2 linked regions of the Macaca mulatta genome follow. The protein of the gene in region 2 purifies or fractionates together with the protein of the main gene of each other region. This does not show direct contact. Links are inferred from orthologs where the notes say so. Each region holds a gene or a part of one and is shown on either strand. Other genes may lie near its edges.

Region 1 (7,945 bases), on a different chromosome or scaffold from region 2:
GATGCTCTCTTTGACTCTATTTCAGTTCAGATTCTCTCTATGCCTGGAGGATAGCAGGAGAGTTGGGAGCAGGTATGGGCTTCTAATTTCTTCCGTTGCAGAATGAATCGAAAGAAGCAGCGGGGAAGAAGGAGATGTAAAAATACAGCATAATTCTTATTGGACAGTGCTGGAAGTTTCTGTGGGGAGTTTGAGATAGAAAAGTCGGGAGGTAGTAGTCTGAAATGGAGGGGCCCATCAGTTCAGGGCAGGATTTCAGAGAGATACTGGGTGTCAAACATTGACTTTGCACTTTCCCCCGCAACCTCTTTCCCTCTCTCCACTTTGTCCTTAATGGAAGAAGGTCAATTATATTATGTTTATAGATAAATTATTTGGGGAAAGATTCACTAAATTTACAACATCTGTTGAGTGCCTACCTTGGTGCTAGGGACTATTCTAAGTGTATCAAATGCTTTGACTCATTTACTCCTCCCGACCCCCATAAAGCAGGTACTATTACGGTCGTGCTTATTTTTATAGATGAGAAAACTGTGGCATCGAGGAGGGAAGCTGACCTGTCCTAATGAGCAGAAGAGCTGGGATTGGAAGCCACATAGTTTAACTCCAGAACCACTCACCCCCAAACATCATGCAACAGCACCTCCCCATCCAGGATATGGTGTATTTTCCCACTTATTTGAATCTTTGCCATTTTCAGTAGAATTTTTATAATTTAAAAAATGTGGGCCAGGTGCAGTGGCTCATGCCTGTAATCCCAGCACTTTGGGAGGCTGAGGTGGGCAGATCATGAGGTCAAGAGATCGAGACCATCCTGGCCAACATGGTGAAACCCCATCTCTACTAAAAATACAAAAATTAGCTGGGTGTGGTGGCATGTGCTTGTAGTCCCAGCTACTCGGGAGACTGAGGCAGGAGAATCACTTGAACCTGGGAGGCGGATGTTGTAGTGAGCCAAGATCACGCCACTGCACGCCAGCCTGGGGACAGAGTGACACTCAGTCTCAAAAAAATAAAAAACAAAATATGGCTCTGCACAATTTTTGTTACAGTTATTTTGGGATTTTCAAATAGTATTTTTGTTGCATATATGATAGAATTCTTAAAATTACAATTTCTGATTATTACGACGTTTAAAGTTAGTTGAATTCATAATGATGAATAAAGCCACATGTGAGTTAAGTCTCATCCCTTGCACTGTTTAAGAGTGGAGAGTGGGATGTGAGCAGGAGTGCCTGATAAGGAGGCAGTGGGAGCTGATGCTAAAGAGCCTTGGGTAATGGTAAGGAGCTTGCATTATTCTTGGAATCAAACCTTCCAACACAAGGAAGGGAAGTGAGATCATTAGGTTTGTTTTTTAAAAACATCTTTCTTGTAGCATTTTACTGAGTGATTTGGGCTTGGGAAAGGTCAGTGGCAGGGCACCTGTTAGGTCATTATTGCAGTATTTCAGGTGAGAGATAAAAAGTCTGAGCCCAGGCAATAGCAGTAAGAAAAATGGGAGTGGTAAGGATGGGGGAGGGGAGCAGTAAACCGAGGGGAGGGTAAGGAACAGGTCTCAGGTAAAAGCAACAGTCCTGGGTGACCAGTTAAACATTGGGGGAGAGGAAAAGAAAGGAGATGAAGTTGCCGCCAGAAAGAGTGGCCTCAGGAGAAACAGATTGTACGGGGATGGGGATGGGGTGGGATGGGCAGAATATATCAGGGAAAGAGTATCCTTGGTATTGGTTTGGTACAGGTGAGTGGGCCTGAATGACAGTCACGGAAATCCCAAAACATGATATAAAAACTAATGAAATTTGAAAGGTAATAAACATGAAAGAAATGAAAAATTTGGATTTATGGGGGATTTATTTGGCTTCTATTGGGGAATGATTAAGACTGAAGCTAACTACTTGGAAGTTATTGGCATAAAAATGGTATGTGAGGCCAAAGGAAAGGGTGAGGTGAGCCCAAGTAGAGAGGCCAACTTTAAACAACAACAGAAAAACAAAGAAATAGGACACAGAGTTAAATTTGAATGTCAGTTATATGATGAATAATTGTTTAGTGTATTCCATGTTTGGACGTGTTTAAGACATACTCGTCCTAAAAATTATGTATTATTTATCTGAAATTCAAATTTAACTGGGCACCATGTATTTAATCTGGCAACCATAACAGGGACAGGACACAGAAATATCGGCAAGGACCAGGCAGGCCTTTCAGATGGTGAGGTGATGTGTGAGACACAGGCCGCTGGCGGAGGCTGGGTGACCCAGAACACCTGTCGCTCATTCTCAGGAGCAGCTGCTACCTACTTCCCACTGATTGGGTTTGCAGAGATGGCCTCGAGGGTGTCTGATATTCTGATATTGCAAAACAGAACAAAAATATGTATTTTAATGTGTATTTAAAATGTATATATATTAAAATATTTTTAATATTGATATTAAAAGTGGTCAATTGGGCTGAGTGCAGTGGCTCATGACTGTAATTCCAGCACTTTGGGAAACTGAGGTGGGAGGATGTCTTGAAGCTAGGAGTTTGAGACAAGCCTGGGCAACATAGCGAGTCCCCATCTCTACAAAAATAAATAAATAAATAAATAAATAAGTCAGGTGTAGTGACTCATGCCTATAATCCCAGCTACTTAGGAGGCCGAGGCAAGAGGATTGCTTGAGCCCAGGAGTTTGAGGCTGCAGTTAACTACGATAGCACCACTCCACTCCAGCTTGGGTGACAGAGTGAGACTCTGTCTCTATTTAAATAAATACGTAAATAAATAAGCTGGGCAAACAATGAAAATGAAAACATTGTGAAATACAAAGCAGTTCTGTGGGTTCCACTGTTTGCAGCCTCTGATCTAATTTCTAAAGAGGGTGTAGCAGGTTTTTTAACCTGTAAATTATGGTGATTGGCAGGTCAGGGTAAATGGTAGTTGTGTGTGGGGAAGCGATGATGGCAACAGGTGTTTTCCTCCTGCAAAAACGAAAATGTGGGAGTGACTTCTCTGGCCATGGCTCCATGGTCTCTCCCCTCAGAGCCAATTTCAGTAAAATTTTTATAGTTTAAAAAATATGGTTCTGAACAATTTTTGTTAGAGTTATTTTGGTATTTTTAAATAGTTTTTTGGTCGTATACATGGTAGAATTCTTAACATTATACAATTGTAATGTATAAAAAAGGATACAATTATAATTCATAAAATTATAGCCCCACTGGCCATTCTCCTGTAGCTGGGAGCAGTTCACGCCAACAGGGCTCTACCCCAATGCTGACCTGCTCTACAGGATCCCAGGAAGGTGAGCATAGCCTACCAACCTGTTTGGGTAGTACAGCGATAGCAACTGAGGCTTCCAAGGCTTTCGTCAGAAGATTGTGGGCGGAAACTTCCAGGGGTTTGCTCTGAGCTTCTTGAGGCTTCTCAGCTTCAGCTGCAAAGTGAGTGGGTGTTTCTTTGAGAAGCAGAATCAGAGAGAGACATAGAGAAAGAGAAAGACAGAGGTGTTTCCCTTAGCTATGGAAACTCTATAAGAGAGATCCAGCTTGCCTCCTCTTGAGCAGTCAGCAACAGGAGTCCTGTCCTTGACACCTCAGCCTCTACAGGATTGAGAAGTAAAACCGTTTGCTGGGGCTGGCCTGACTCACCGGCTGCCATGCAGCAGCCCTTCAATTACCCATATCCCCAGATCTACTGGGTGGACAGCAGTGCCAGCTCTCCCTGGGCCCCTCCAGGCACAGTTCTTCCCTGTCCAACCTCTGTGCCCAGAAGGCCTGGTCAAAGGAGGCCACCACCACCGCCGCCGCCGCCGCCACTACCACCTCCACCGCCACCACCACTGCCTCCACTACCGCTGCCACCCTTGAAGAAGAGGGGAAACCACAGCACAGGCCTTTGTCTCCTTGTGATGTTTTTCATGGTTCTGGTTGCCTTGGTAGGATTGGGACTGGGGATGTTTCAGCTCTTCCACTTACAGAAAGAGCTGGCAGAACTCCGAGAGGTAAGCCTGCTGGCAGACTGCTGTGCCCTGGAGGCACCAGGCATAAGGGGGTGGAGGGCCCACTGCCTGGCTTGCAAAGTGCTTTTCAATCCTTTTTTTTTTTTCTTAGAAATGGGTTGTTCTAGTTATTCTATTCTATAGGCAGAGAAATGGAGGCTCATAGGAGTGAAGGGAATATTTTTTATTTTGTAAAGAATCAGAGCCCAACAGTTTTTCTTTCCTCAGTTGTCAACTCAGTCTGTTGAACCACTTACTGCCTCATACCTAGTGATTTAAGGAGTAAAAAACAAACAAAACTTTTAAGTTTTGCTTGGAAGTAAATTTGTTCAGATGACCAAACTAAATCTTGAAAATACTTAAAATACTGGTACGATTTCAAATCACAAAACTGAGGGACAGTGAAGCAAAATTGCTTGACCAAAGCCTGAGTCAGCAAAAGTTCTGAGGTATTTGGATTCTCTTTCCAGGGCTTGGTTTATTTGACGATTCTGTCTCTTTTGCTTAAATAATTTTATTTTTATTATGCATCTTTTTTCTTTCTCTTTTACTAGTCTACCAGCCAGAAGCATACAGCATCATCTTTGGAGAAGCAAATAGGTGAGTCCTTTTTCACATGTACATTGAGTTCCTAAAGATGATCCTCAGCACTGAAATATGTTAATGGAATGCCTTATATTCTGTCCTACACTTTGGCTTATGTATACTATGAGAGGAATCCTGGCTAATTCGGAATCTCTGGTCAGTATGATTCCTTGAGCTGCTTTATAAATGTGAAGTGAATTGAATTGCTCACAATCAATATAGCTGAGCACGGCACACAATTCAAAATCACTTCCGCTTGACTTTGGAAAGAGACACACATATACAACCGTGGACTTTTGCCCCCTGAGCAGTGGTTCCAGGCCTGTCCCCTTCCACAGACACCCTGGTCCTGGCACACATGCCAGTGGCTATGACTTCTGGGAAGAGAAGGCGAAGTGAAGGCAGAGACAGATGTTTCTGAGAAACGTCCTCTCCTCTTTTAAAGCCTCTAAAGAGATTACAGTGAAACTTTATTTACAAAATGTTTTATAGGACGTAAGCTTTTAAAATGTGGCTAATCAATTCCGTACATTAGAATGGTTTTTCTTGAAGTCACTGAGAAGCTGAAGGGAAGACTTCAGCCATCATTCAAAGGATGTTCAGCTTCAGAGGCAGTCATGAGGTACCCTTGATCACAAAGGAAAATCCTTTGTATGGGAGCTAGGGCAAGAAGACGATATGTTGGAACACTGATCTCGTGAAATTTCAGGGCATAGTTTTGCAAGCTCTGTACAGATGGATTTTACAATGTGCTTCACTAGCCTAAGATTCATTGAAATTTTAGATTTAGATTTACAATGAGATTCACTGAAGGTTTAGAGTTGGAAGGAAGCTTAGAATATCCAGTCCAGCCATTTCATTTTTTTGGAAGAGAAACAAAATGCCAGACGGATTAGGTGAATATGCCCAAGACCCCTAGTATGGAACTGGGGCTAGAAGGAACACAGGCTCTTGATGCCTTGTCACCTACAGGGCTTTCCGGTACTGGACTGGTGCCTCATGAAGTAGGGAAACTCCTGTCTCTCTGTAGTGAGCATGGAGTGAGAAATAGAGGAAAAGCAGGATACCTCTGCAAAGACTATAGATAGATCGCATCCTTAGAAACTCAGAATAAAGAAGAAGGCAGCACTGGCCATCTATTAAGTGAAGTAAGTTTCAGTTTCTCTGGATGTGGCTACTGCAGGCAACCCAGTCGCCTGTCTACTGTCCTAGACTGTTAAGTTCTTATAGGAGCCACTGTTGGGAAGCTCTGGCCCCTGAGTCTGTGTCCTAATCCTTAAATGTTAGAAAGTCCATATGTACACAAGCAGAGTGGAAATATTTGCTAGAAAAATAAAGCCTCTGGAGGATGTCTCAAATAAGATCATTTTGAAAACCTGTGGAATGTGCCTGGTCTGATAGGTACCTAAGCATTCATCTTTTACCTCCTCTCTGGAGTCAATTTAGTGATTAAAAATCAAATGACCAGACGAGTCATGTCCATCTACCCCAGTAAGCAATTATCTTCTCTAGATCAACCCAGATGAACCAGAAATTGTTAAATTATCACAAGGAAATCAAATCAGTAACTTTACTAATAAGAAAAGAGATGCAAACTAAAAATAGGGAACACCAATTTTCATCAAATTAGTAAAGTTAACAAAAACCCAGACTGACAAAGATTTGAAAGAAAAGTGCTGTTTAAACATTAGTTTCAGCCAGTATACATGTAAATTGCTATAACTTTTTCTGAAGAGCACTTTAGAAATACATATCAAAAGCTTGAAACTAATAGTTTATGTTGTAATCCTATCACTAAGAATTTCTCTTAAGAAAATAATCAGAGATGTGCCTGAAGATTTATATATAAGGATGTTCATTACTCCCTTATGAGCCTATTTATAATAAACAATCCAGAAGAAACTTGAATGCCTCATACTAGATTAGTTATATACATTATGGTGTATTGAAACAAGCACATAATAAGCAGCAACTAAAAATGATGTATCAGAAGGACATTTAATGCCTTGGGGATTGTGCAGTGTGTATTGTTAGATAAAAAGACAAGTTACAAAAGGATATATTTCGTTTCATACTGACTATGTAACCATGTATGCACGTTTTTATATTCTTAGGAACTAGAAGGTTCTACACACTGACATACTAACAGTGATTTTCTCTGGGAGATACTACTATAGATTATTTATACTTTCTAACTTGTTCCTTTTTACATTTTCCATTTTTTTCCAGTTAGCTAATTAAATCTTTTATTCATTCACATGCGTGAGGCTAGATGTTGGGTGTTGGACGCTGATCGAGGATGAGCCAGCCCAGGGGACCTGTCCTTATAGAGCTTTTAGCATGGTGAAGAAGCTAAACAAAAGCAAGCAAACAGACCATACAATTCCAAAGTTGTACTAAGTATAAGCTGAGAATCCTTTTTAAGGAGGTGTTTATGCTGACACCTGGGGGGTCAGAAGCCTGATGAGCGAAGGGCTGTGTGCATGTGCTGTGGAGTGGGGTGGGGCTGGGGGAGAGCATTTCAACACTGGGAACGGCACATGCAAAAACCCTGGGGCAGGAAGCACTCATCACCAGTGTCTAAGGTATCTCTGCAGTTTATTTATTCCAGCATATGTACAGCAGATATTCTTAGTGAGCATGTTCTGTAAAAATAATGTTGTACTAGGCTCTGTGAGGGATAAAAAGATATGCAACATGTGGTTCTCGGTTCTGTTTCCTGCCGGTGCATGGCTGAATGCCAGATGAGTCGCGCGGGTGGTTTGCGGTGTAGGAATGCAGAAGAGACTCAGTTTTGCCTTTCCTGTTCACTAACACCTCCTTCATGGTGGGTTGTCTTGGGTGACCAGAGAGATCATGATCGCTCAGGTAATGTTCTCTGTGAATTGGGCCATTCTCACACCATACGTGAGTTTTACAGGCTAATCACGAACCTGACGTATTCAAGCATCTCGTGTGAATATTTATTGAGGTCTCAGTTAGCTGAATGCGTTAGCTAAGTGGCAGCTGTCTATCTTGTCTGAAATAGTTGAAGTCAGAGAAATAGTGTCTGTTTTGAGAACTACTGTCTATTCTTCCATTTAATTTATCTGACATTTGCTAGTAACATGCCCTGTGTTAGGAACTGGGCTTCTCTGGTGAATTCAACATATCGTAAGGAACTTGTCATTATTTGAGCGGAATAAGATAATTTATGTAGTTACCCCAGAGAAGAGGAGTCAGAAATGACAAGAGAGGGGAAGACAGAATGATCCTAGATTTCAAAAGAGGGGAAGATCATATTTGATCAAAAAAGGTTTGAGAGGGTTTCCCAAAGAAAGAGGTATAGTCCTTATGGGATGTTTAGGAATTTGACACAGAAATCTGTTTGAAAGAACATT
Region 2 (7,345 bases):
TTTTGTATTTTTTAGTAGAGACGGGGTTTCACCGTGTTAGCCAGGATGGTTTCGATCTCCTGACCTCGTGATCTGCCCGTCTCGGCCTCCCAAAGTGCTGGGATTACAGGCGTGAGCCACCGCGCCCGGCCAAGAATATCCTTATTATTAGGAAATACACACCAAAATATTTAGGAGTAGGCCGGGCGTGGTGATTCATGCCTGTAATCCCAGTACTTTGGGAAACTGAGGCAGGCGGATCACGAGGTCAGGAGATCCAGACCATCCTGGCTAACATGGTGAAACCCTGTCTTTACTAAAAAATACAAAAAATTAGCCGGGCATGGTGGCGGTCGCCTGTAGTCCCAGCTACTCAGGAGGCTAAGGCAGGAGAATGGCGTGAACCCAGGAGGCAGAGCTTGCAGTAAGCCAAGATCACGCCACTGCACTCCAGCCTGGAAGACAGAGCGAAGACTCCATCTCAAAAAAAAAAAAAAAAAAATTTAGGAGTAAAAGGCCACTTATACTTACTCTCAAAAAGTTCAGAATGTATGCAACTTACTCTCAAAAAGTTCAGAAAAAAATTATGTGTGTGTGGAGAGAGAGGGAGAGAGAGCAAGTGTGAGTGAATGCACAAAAATAATAAAGCAAATGGGGTAAAACACCAACAACAGGTAGGTAAATCTAGGAAAACAGTACATAGGTATTCTTTGTATTATTCACATTCTTGCAACTTTTCTATAAAATTGAAATTATTTTTAAATCTAAAAATTGTAACTGTAAAAATATCAGACCATGACAGTAGTAAAGAAGACATAAAATAATTTTTAAGAATAAAAAATAAAGGCCAGGCACAGTGGCTCACACCTGTAATCCCAGCACTTTGGGAGGCCAAGGTGGGCATATCCCTTGAGGTCAGGAGTTCGAGACCAGCCTGGCCAACACAGTGAAACCCTGTCTCTATTAAAAATACAAAAATTAGCCAGGTGTGCTGGTGCATGCCTGTAATCCCAGCTGCTTGGGAGGCTGAGGCAGGAGAACCGCTTGAACCTGGGAGTTAGAGGTTGCAGTGAGCCATGATCCCACCACTGCACTCCAGCCTGGACGATGCGTGAGACTCCGTCTCAAAAAAAAAAAAAAAAAAAAAGGATTAAAAATAAAACTTCTACAAACAACTGAATTAGAAAATGAACAAAGGACTTAGACATTTCTCTAAAGAAGATATACAAATGGCCAAAAAGCACATGAGAAGATGCTCGACAGCCCTAGTCATTAAGGAAAGCAAATCAAAACCACAAGGAAATAGGGCCTCACTTCCATTAGGATGCCTACTATCAAAAATGAAAGAAAATAATACGTCTTGGTGAGGAAGTGTTTCTGAGGATGTGTGCACAGTTGGTGGAAATGTAAAATGGTACAGTCACTGTGGAAAATAGAATGAAGGTTCCTCAAAAAATTGAAAATAGAATGACTATATAATCCACCATTTCCACTTATGGGTACAAACACAAAAGAATTGAAAGCAGCATCTCAAAGAGATATTTTTACACCGACATTCATAGCAGCATTATTAAAAATAGTCAAAAGGTGGCAGCAGCCCAAGAGTCCATCAATGGATGAGTGGATAACAAAATGGAGTACAGTAAGTCCTCACTTAGAGTCATCAGTAGGTTCTTGGTAACTCCGACTTTAAGTGAAACAATGAACTGTATGCTATAGAAACTTAACTCTTAGGGTTTTTTGTTATCGTTTTTTGAAACAGGGTCTCCCTTTGTCACCCAAGCTGGAGTGCAGTGATGCAATCTCAGCTCACTGCAACCTCCACCCCCCAGGTTCAAGCTATTCTTGTGCCTCAGTCTCCCAAGTAGCTGGGATTACAGGTGTGCGCCACCACGCCCGGTTAATTTTTGTATTTTTAGTAGAGATGGGGTTTCACCATGTTGGCCAGGCTAGTCTCGAACTCCTGGCCTCAAGTAAGCCGCCTGCCTTGGCCTCTCAAAGTGCTGGGATTGGAGGTATGGGTCACCATGACTGGCCAACTCTTGATTATATCAATTAGCCTATGGTGAAATTGGTTTCATTATGTAGTATGTGGCTGGGCGTGGTGGTACATGGCTGTAATCTCAGCACTTTGGGAGGGTAAGGCGGGAGGATTGCTTGAGCCCAAGAGTTTGAGATCAGCCTGGACAACAAAGCGAAACCCCACCTCTACAAAAAAATTTAAAATAAAAATAAATACATTATACAGTATGCTATCACTTAAAGTCAGTTTCCAAAAATCTATCAACCTTGTAAATGAGGACTTACTGTATATACACACAGTGGAATATTATTCAGCCTTTAAAAAGGAAGGAAATTCTGAGATATGCTACAACTTGGATGAACCCTGAAGACTTTACACTAAGTGAAATAAGCTAGTCACAAAAAAACAAATACTGTATGATTCTACTTATATGAGGTACCCTGAAAAGTCAAATTTATAGACAGAGAAAGTAGAACCGTGGTTTCCAGGGGTTGGAGGGAAGGAGAAAATGAAAAGTTATTGTTTAATGGGTACAAAGTTTTACTAAAAGATGATTAAAAAGTTCTGGGATGGATGGTGGTAATGTCTGCACAACAATGTGAAGGTGTTTAACATTACTGAACTGTATACTTAAAATTGATTAAGATGGTAAATTTTGTTACGTGTATTTTACCACAATTGAAAACAAAAAACAAAAAATTTCCCAGACCAAGCTAACTCATTGATGCTGACAGATGTTGGCAAAGAAATTACCCAAGTCTGCTGGAGGAACCACAGATCCCAGGGAAGACTGTCACATATCTCCCAAGGATCATGATCACATTGTGAGGAACAGATTGCAAATTCTCCCAACGTTTCCCCTTCCACCCGTCCTTTCAGAGCGGAGCACCACAGAAACCAGAAACCCTTGCCCTCTGGGTTGTCCAGCTACATGCTTGGCAAACCTCTTGTTCAATACAGTAAGAATTTCAAAACAGTAACAGCAGAACATTAAACAAAGCTCTGTACTTGAACTCTGGAATTACTATCAGGCACCCTGTACTCCATAGATTATATGTCCCTAAAGCTGGCTCTAATTGCATCCCACAGATAAGAACAGAGGAACCATTTCAGAGCAACTCAAGGGTGTGTGGAGTCAGTTCAGACTAACTAGTGAGAGCTCAAACTAACTAGTTCTCACTAGCCGGCTAGTGTCAGTCAATTGTTAAATTTTCAGAAAATGTGCACTCTGGTTGATATCATGTTGTTTACTTGCAATCACCATGGCGAGAGCATTTACAGTAAATGGTACAAACCGGAGCCAATCTCTCTTTTTCTTTTTGGGGGGGTGGGAGGGGGGGTTGGAGGGTGGAGCCGGTTGTTAAACATTGACCAGCACACCACTGAACCTACCGGTAAGGCTTCCAAGAATGTTTTAATGTCTGTTTGGGAAACTAGTTCTTCCTCTCCTTGATACAATGACTCAGCTTCCTTGTCTACAGGAGGTGTCGCTATCTGGGCAGCTGAAAATAAAATCACAGACAGGAAAATAAAAATTACCTTCTGACTAGTAGCAATCCAAAATAACCAGCCATCAAAAGCAGCCATCAAAAATAATTATTTTGAAGAGAATTGTAAATTTTTTTTTTTTTTTTGAGTCAGGGTTTCGCTCCTGTTGCCCAAGCTGGAGTGCAATGGCATGATCTCGGCCCACTGCAACCTCTGCCTCCCAGGTTCAACCAATTCTCCTGCCTCAGCTTCCTGAGTAGCTGCAATTACAGGCACGCCACCATGCCCGGCTAATTTTTTGTATTTTTAGTAGAAATGTGGTTTCACCATGTTAGCCAAGCTGGTCTCGAACTCCTGACCTCAGGTGATCCACCCGCTTCGGCCTCCCAAAGTGCTGGGATTACAGGCGTGAGCCACTGCGCCCAGTCTGAGAATTGTAAATTTCTCATTGCATTTGCTTATGGAAGCCTACATATATACCCAGAAAAAAAAATGTGTAAATTTATAAATTATTTTTATTCCTTGTATTGTTTTATTTTCTTTTCTATTGTTTTTGTTATTTTATAATTTTATTAGTTCCTTAAAATTACTATATATTTACTAAATCGTATTTCAAAACTTATTGTTGTTTTAAGCTGCTAAAAAAAAAAAGTTATAGTGCTTAATGTACCAGATAATTGCCAAGTAGAGATTTCAAAAGCATTGTCTCAAAAAATAATATCAGAATTCAGGCTATAATAGCGAACAAAGAAAGAAGGAAAGGAGGGTAAAAAGAATGTAAGAAAAAAGAAAATCCATTTAAAAGTGGTAATTATATAAAAATGTTATAGCCATAAAATGATTTCTAAGGGACCATTAATAAAAACGATCTATATCTGTATTATTAATATATTCATGAAAATGTCAGCTATGGCCGGGCATGGTGGCTCATGCTTGTAATCCCAGCACTTGGGAGGCCGAGGTGGGTGGATCACTGGAGGTCAGGAGTTCAAGACCATCCTGGCCAACATGGCAAGACTCTGTCTCTACTAAAAATACAAAAATTAGCTTGGCGTGGTGGCAGAGACACCTGTAATCTCAGCTACTCAGGAGGCTAAGACAGAAGAATCGCTTGAACCTAGGAGGCAGAGGTTGTGGTGAGCCGAGATCGTGCCATTGCACTCCAGCCTGGGCAACAAGAGCGAAACTTCATCTCAAAAAAAAAAAAAGTCAGCTATATTATGTGGGGGGAAAAGCAAGTTTTAGAATATGATTAGCATGGTCTTTGTTAAAAATATACGTGTCTCTGTGTGTGTGTGTATGTAATATCTCTGTACACTTACAATTGTTTCTATATAGAAGGAAATCAATAAGTATATATTCCAAACAGTGGTTATCTTTGGGAAATGGGTTAGTAATAGAAAAAGAAGAAAAGGAGAAAGACTTTTACCTTCTACACTCTATGTTGCTTTAATTATTTGAATTTTTATTTAATTTTATTATAATTATGTACCTTATTTTAATAATAAATTAAAAATACTAGGCTGGGCGAGGTGGCTCATGCCTGTAATCTCAGGACTTTGGGAGGCCAAGGCAGGTAGATCACGAGGTCAGTAGTTTGAGATCAGCGTGGCCAACATGGTGAAACCTTGTCTCTACTAAAAATACAAAAATTAACTGGGTGCGGTGGTGCATGCCTGTAATCCCAGCTACTCGGGAGGCTGAGGCAGGAGAAGAATTGCTTAAACCTGGGATGGGGAGGTTGCAGTGAGCTAAGACCGTCCCACTGCACCACAGCCTGGGGAGAGTAAGAGTCTGTCTCAAGAAAATACCAAAGCAAACACCAAGGCTCAAGATAACTTAGAAAGTTAGCCAGGTGGTCCTTAAACAAAGCCAGTGTCCTCGCTTGGACTTTGGATCACACACACTTACAGGAAAGTCTAAACTCTGCACACCTACTCTTTTCAGTCCTTTAGACTTTCATCTTAACAGCAGAACTAGGCTCAAACTCTTAGAACTAAAGAAAGTCAATATTAAAATATCAATAATGATTGACACCCAAAAGAGATCACATACAGGTAGGTTATAGAAAAGAAAAATCAAAATTAGAATTCTGCTGATATAAAGCTCAGTCCTGGGCCAGGCTCAGTGGCTCACGCCTATAATTCCAGCACAGATCACTTGAGGTCAAGAGTTCAAGACCAGCCTGGCCAACATGGTGAAACCCTGTCTCCATTAAAAATACAAAAATTAGCTGGGCATGGTGGCAGGTATCTGTAATCCCAGCTACTCAGGAGGCTGAGGCAGAAAAATCGCTTGAACTTGGGAGGCGGAGGTTTCAGTGAGCCAAAATCATGCCACTGCACTCCAGCCTGGGTGACAGAGCAAGACTCCATCTCAAATAAAAATAAAAATAACAAAGCTCAGGCCAGGCACGGTGGCTCACGCGTGTAATCCCAGCACTTTGGGAGGCCGAGGTGGGCGGATCGCGAGGTCAGGAGATTGAGACCATCCTCGCTAACTCGGTGAAACCCCATCTCTACTAAAAATACAAAAATTAGCCGGGCGTGTTGGCGAGTGCCTGTAGTCCCAGCTACTCAGGAGGCTGAGGCAGGAGAATGGTGTGAACCCGGGAGGCGGAGCTTGCAGTGAGCTGAGATCACGCCACTGCACTCCAGACTGGGTGACAGAGCGAGACTCTGTCTCAAAAAATAAAAATAAAACAACAAATTTCAGTCTTCAAGACTCACTGAGGCAAATGTAATCAACTACATAGAAGCTAGTGTGTCTTCTTTAGAATTTAAGTATCCAAAATAATATGACCACTTGCCCTTTGTTTACTTCATATGGGATATGACATTACAGAAAAATGACAATGTGTTTAGAAAAAAACTCAGAGCTCATGTGAGGATTTGAAATGTTCTTTCCATATCAACCTTCTGCTTTCTCATTTGATAATTTGATGATAGAAAGAACTGTTTTTATTCTTCATAACTTAAATTATGCATTTATTCATCATTTTATTGCTTGAGATTTTATCAATTTGACAACAGTATATTTTGCTCCTCAACTCATTCTGTGTTAACCAAATTCTTAGAGAGACGTTTCCTCTTAGCTAGTTTCATTTTCAACCAAAGAAATCTGCACACTAGAGTCACTCACTGAACTAAATTAAGGGTGTGGCATAAAAGTTTCATGAATATACTCATGCGTTTTTATGTATAGCTCTTGTTTAACAGTGGAGAAATTGACTCAGAAAAACACAGATATTTAGCGTATTGACACGTGGTGAGGCAGCCAGGTTTGACTTCTGCCCTGTGCTTCTACCTGTATAAAATATCACAGCAGAACTATCTTTATCAGACAGACTTGAAAAAAAAAAGAAACCCACAAGAAAATAAAGTTCTTCTTTGATAGTAGTTTCTGAGAATGTGAGGTCTTCCTGACTTTTCTCTCTGAGAGAGTCATAGTAGCCACATGAATTGAATGCTTACTCCACGCCAGACATGCATTTTACAGAAACTATCTCCTTCAAACCTCACAAAAACCTAGGAGGTTGGTACTATTATTATGCCCACTTTACAGATGGGGAAAGTGAGACATAGAAAAGCCAAAAAAGTACCACTGCACCACTAGTCAGCGGAGTCCTGGCCATCCGACTCCATAGACTCCACTCTCACCCCATGCTATCCTGCCTTCTTTTTCATGTTATTTGGGTTAAAACAAAATTCCCTATACTCTCACTCCCATATTAGAATCAGAAAAAGACATTTGTCTAAAACTACTTCCCTGCACTGAAATATAAGTTCCAAGAGGGCAGGAGCTTTGTTCTGTACTTTGCTATACCCCCAACTTCTAAAGCAGTGCCTAGTACAA

The links.
Region 1: the proteins of CASP10 (region 2) and FASLG purify together in Homo sapiens (co-immunoprecipitation; 3 studies listed by BioGRID and IntAct, with this or other methods). This does not show direct contact. The link is inferred for Macaca mulatta from reciprocal best matches to the Homo sapiens genes CASP10 and FASLG.

What each region holds. Positions count from the first base shown.
Region 1 is NC_133406.1:30,153,839-30,161,783, forward strand, and holds the start of FASLG (tumor necrosis factor ligand superfamily member 6), read left to right. Parts: upstream 1-3,596; 5' UTR 3,597-3,638; coding exon 3,639-3,983; intron 3,984-4,534; coding exon 4,535-4,580; intron 4,581-7,945. UniProt on the Homo sapiens protein: Cytokine that binds to TNFRSF6/FAS, a receptor that transduces the apoptotic signal into cells. Involved in cytotoxic T-cell-mediated apoptosis, natural killer cell-mediated apoptosis and in T-cell development.
Region 2 is NC_133417.1:106,297,370-106,304,714, reverse strand, and holds part of CASP10 (caspase-10), read right to left. Parts: intron 3,505-7,345; coding exon 3,395-3,504; intron 1-3,394. UniProt on the Homo sapiens protein: Involved in the activation cascade of caspases responsible for apoptosis execution. Recruited to both Fas- and TNFR-1 receptors in a FADD dependent manner. May participate in the granzyme B apoptotic pathways.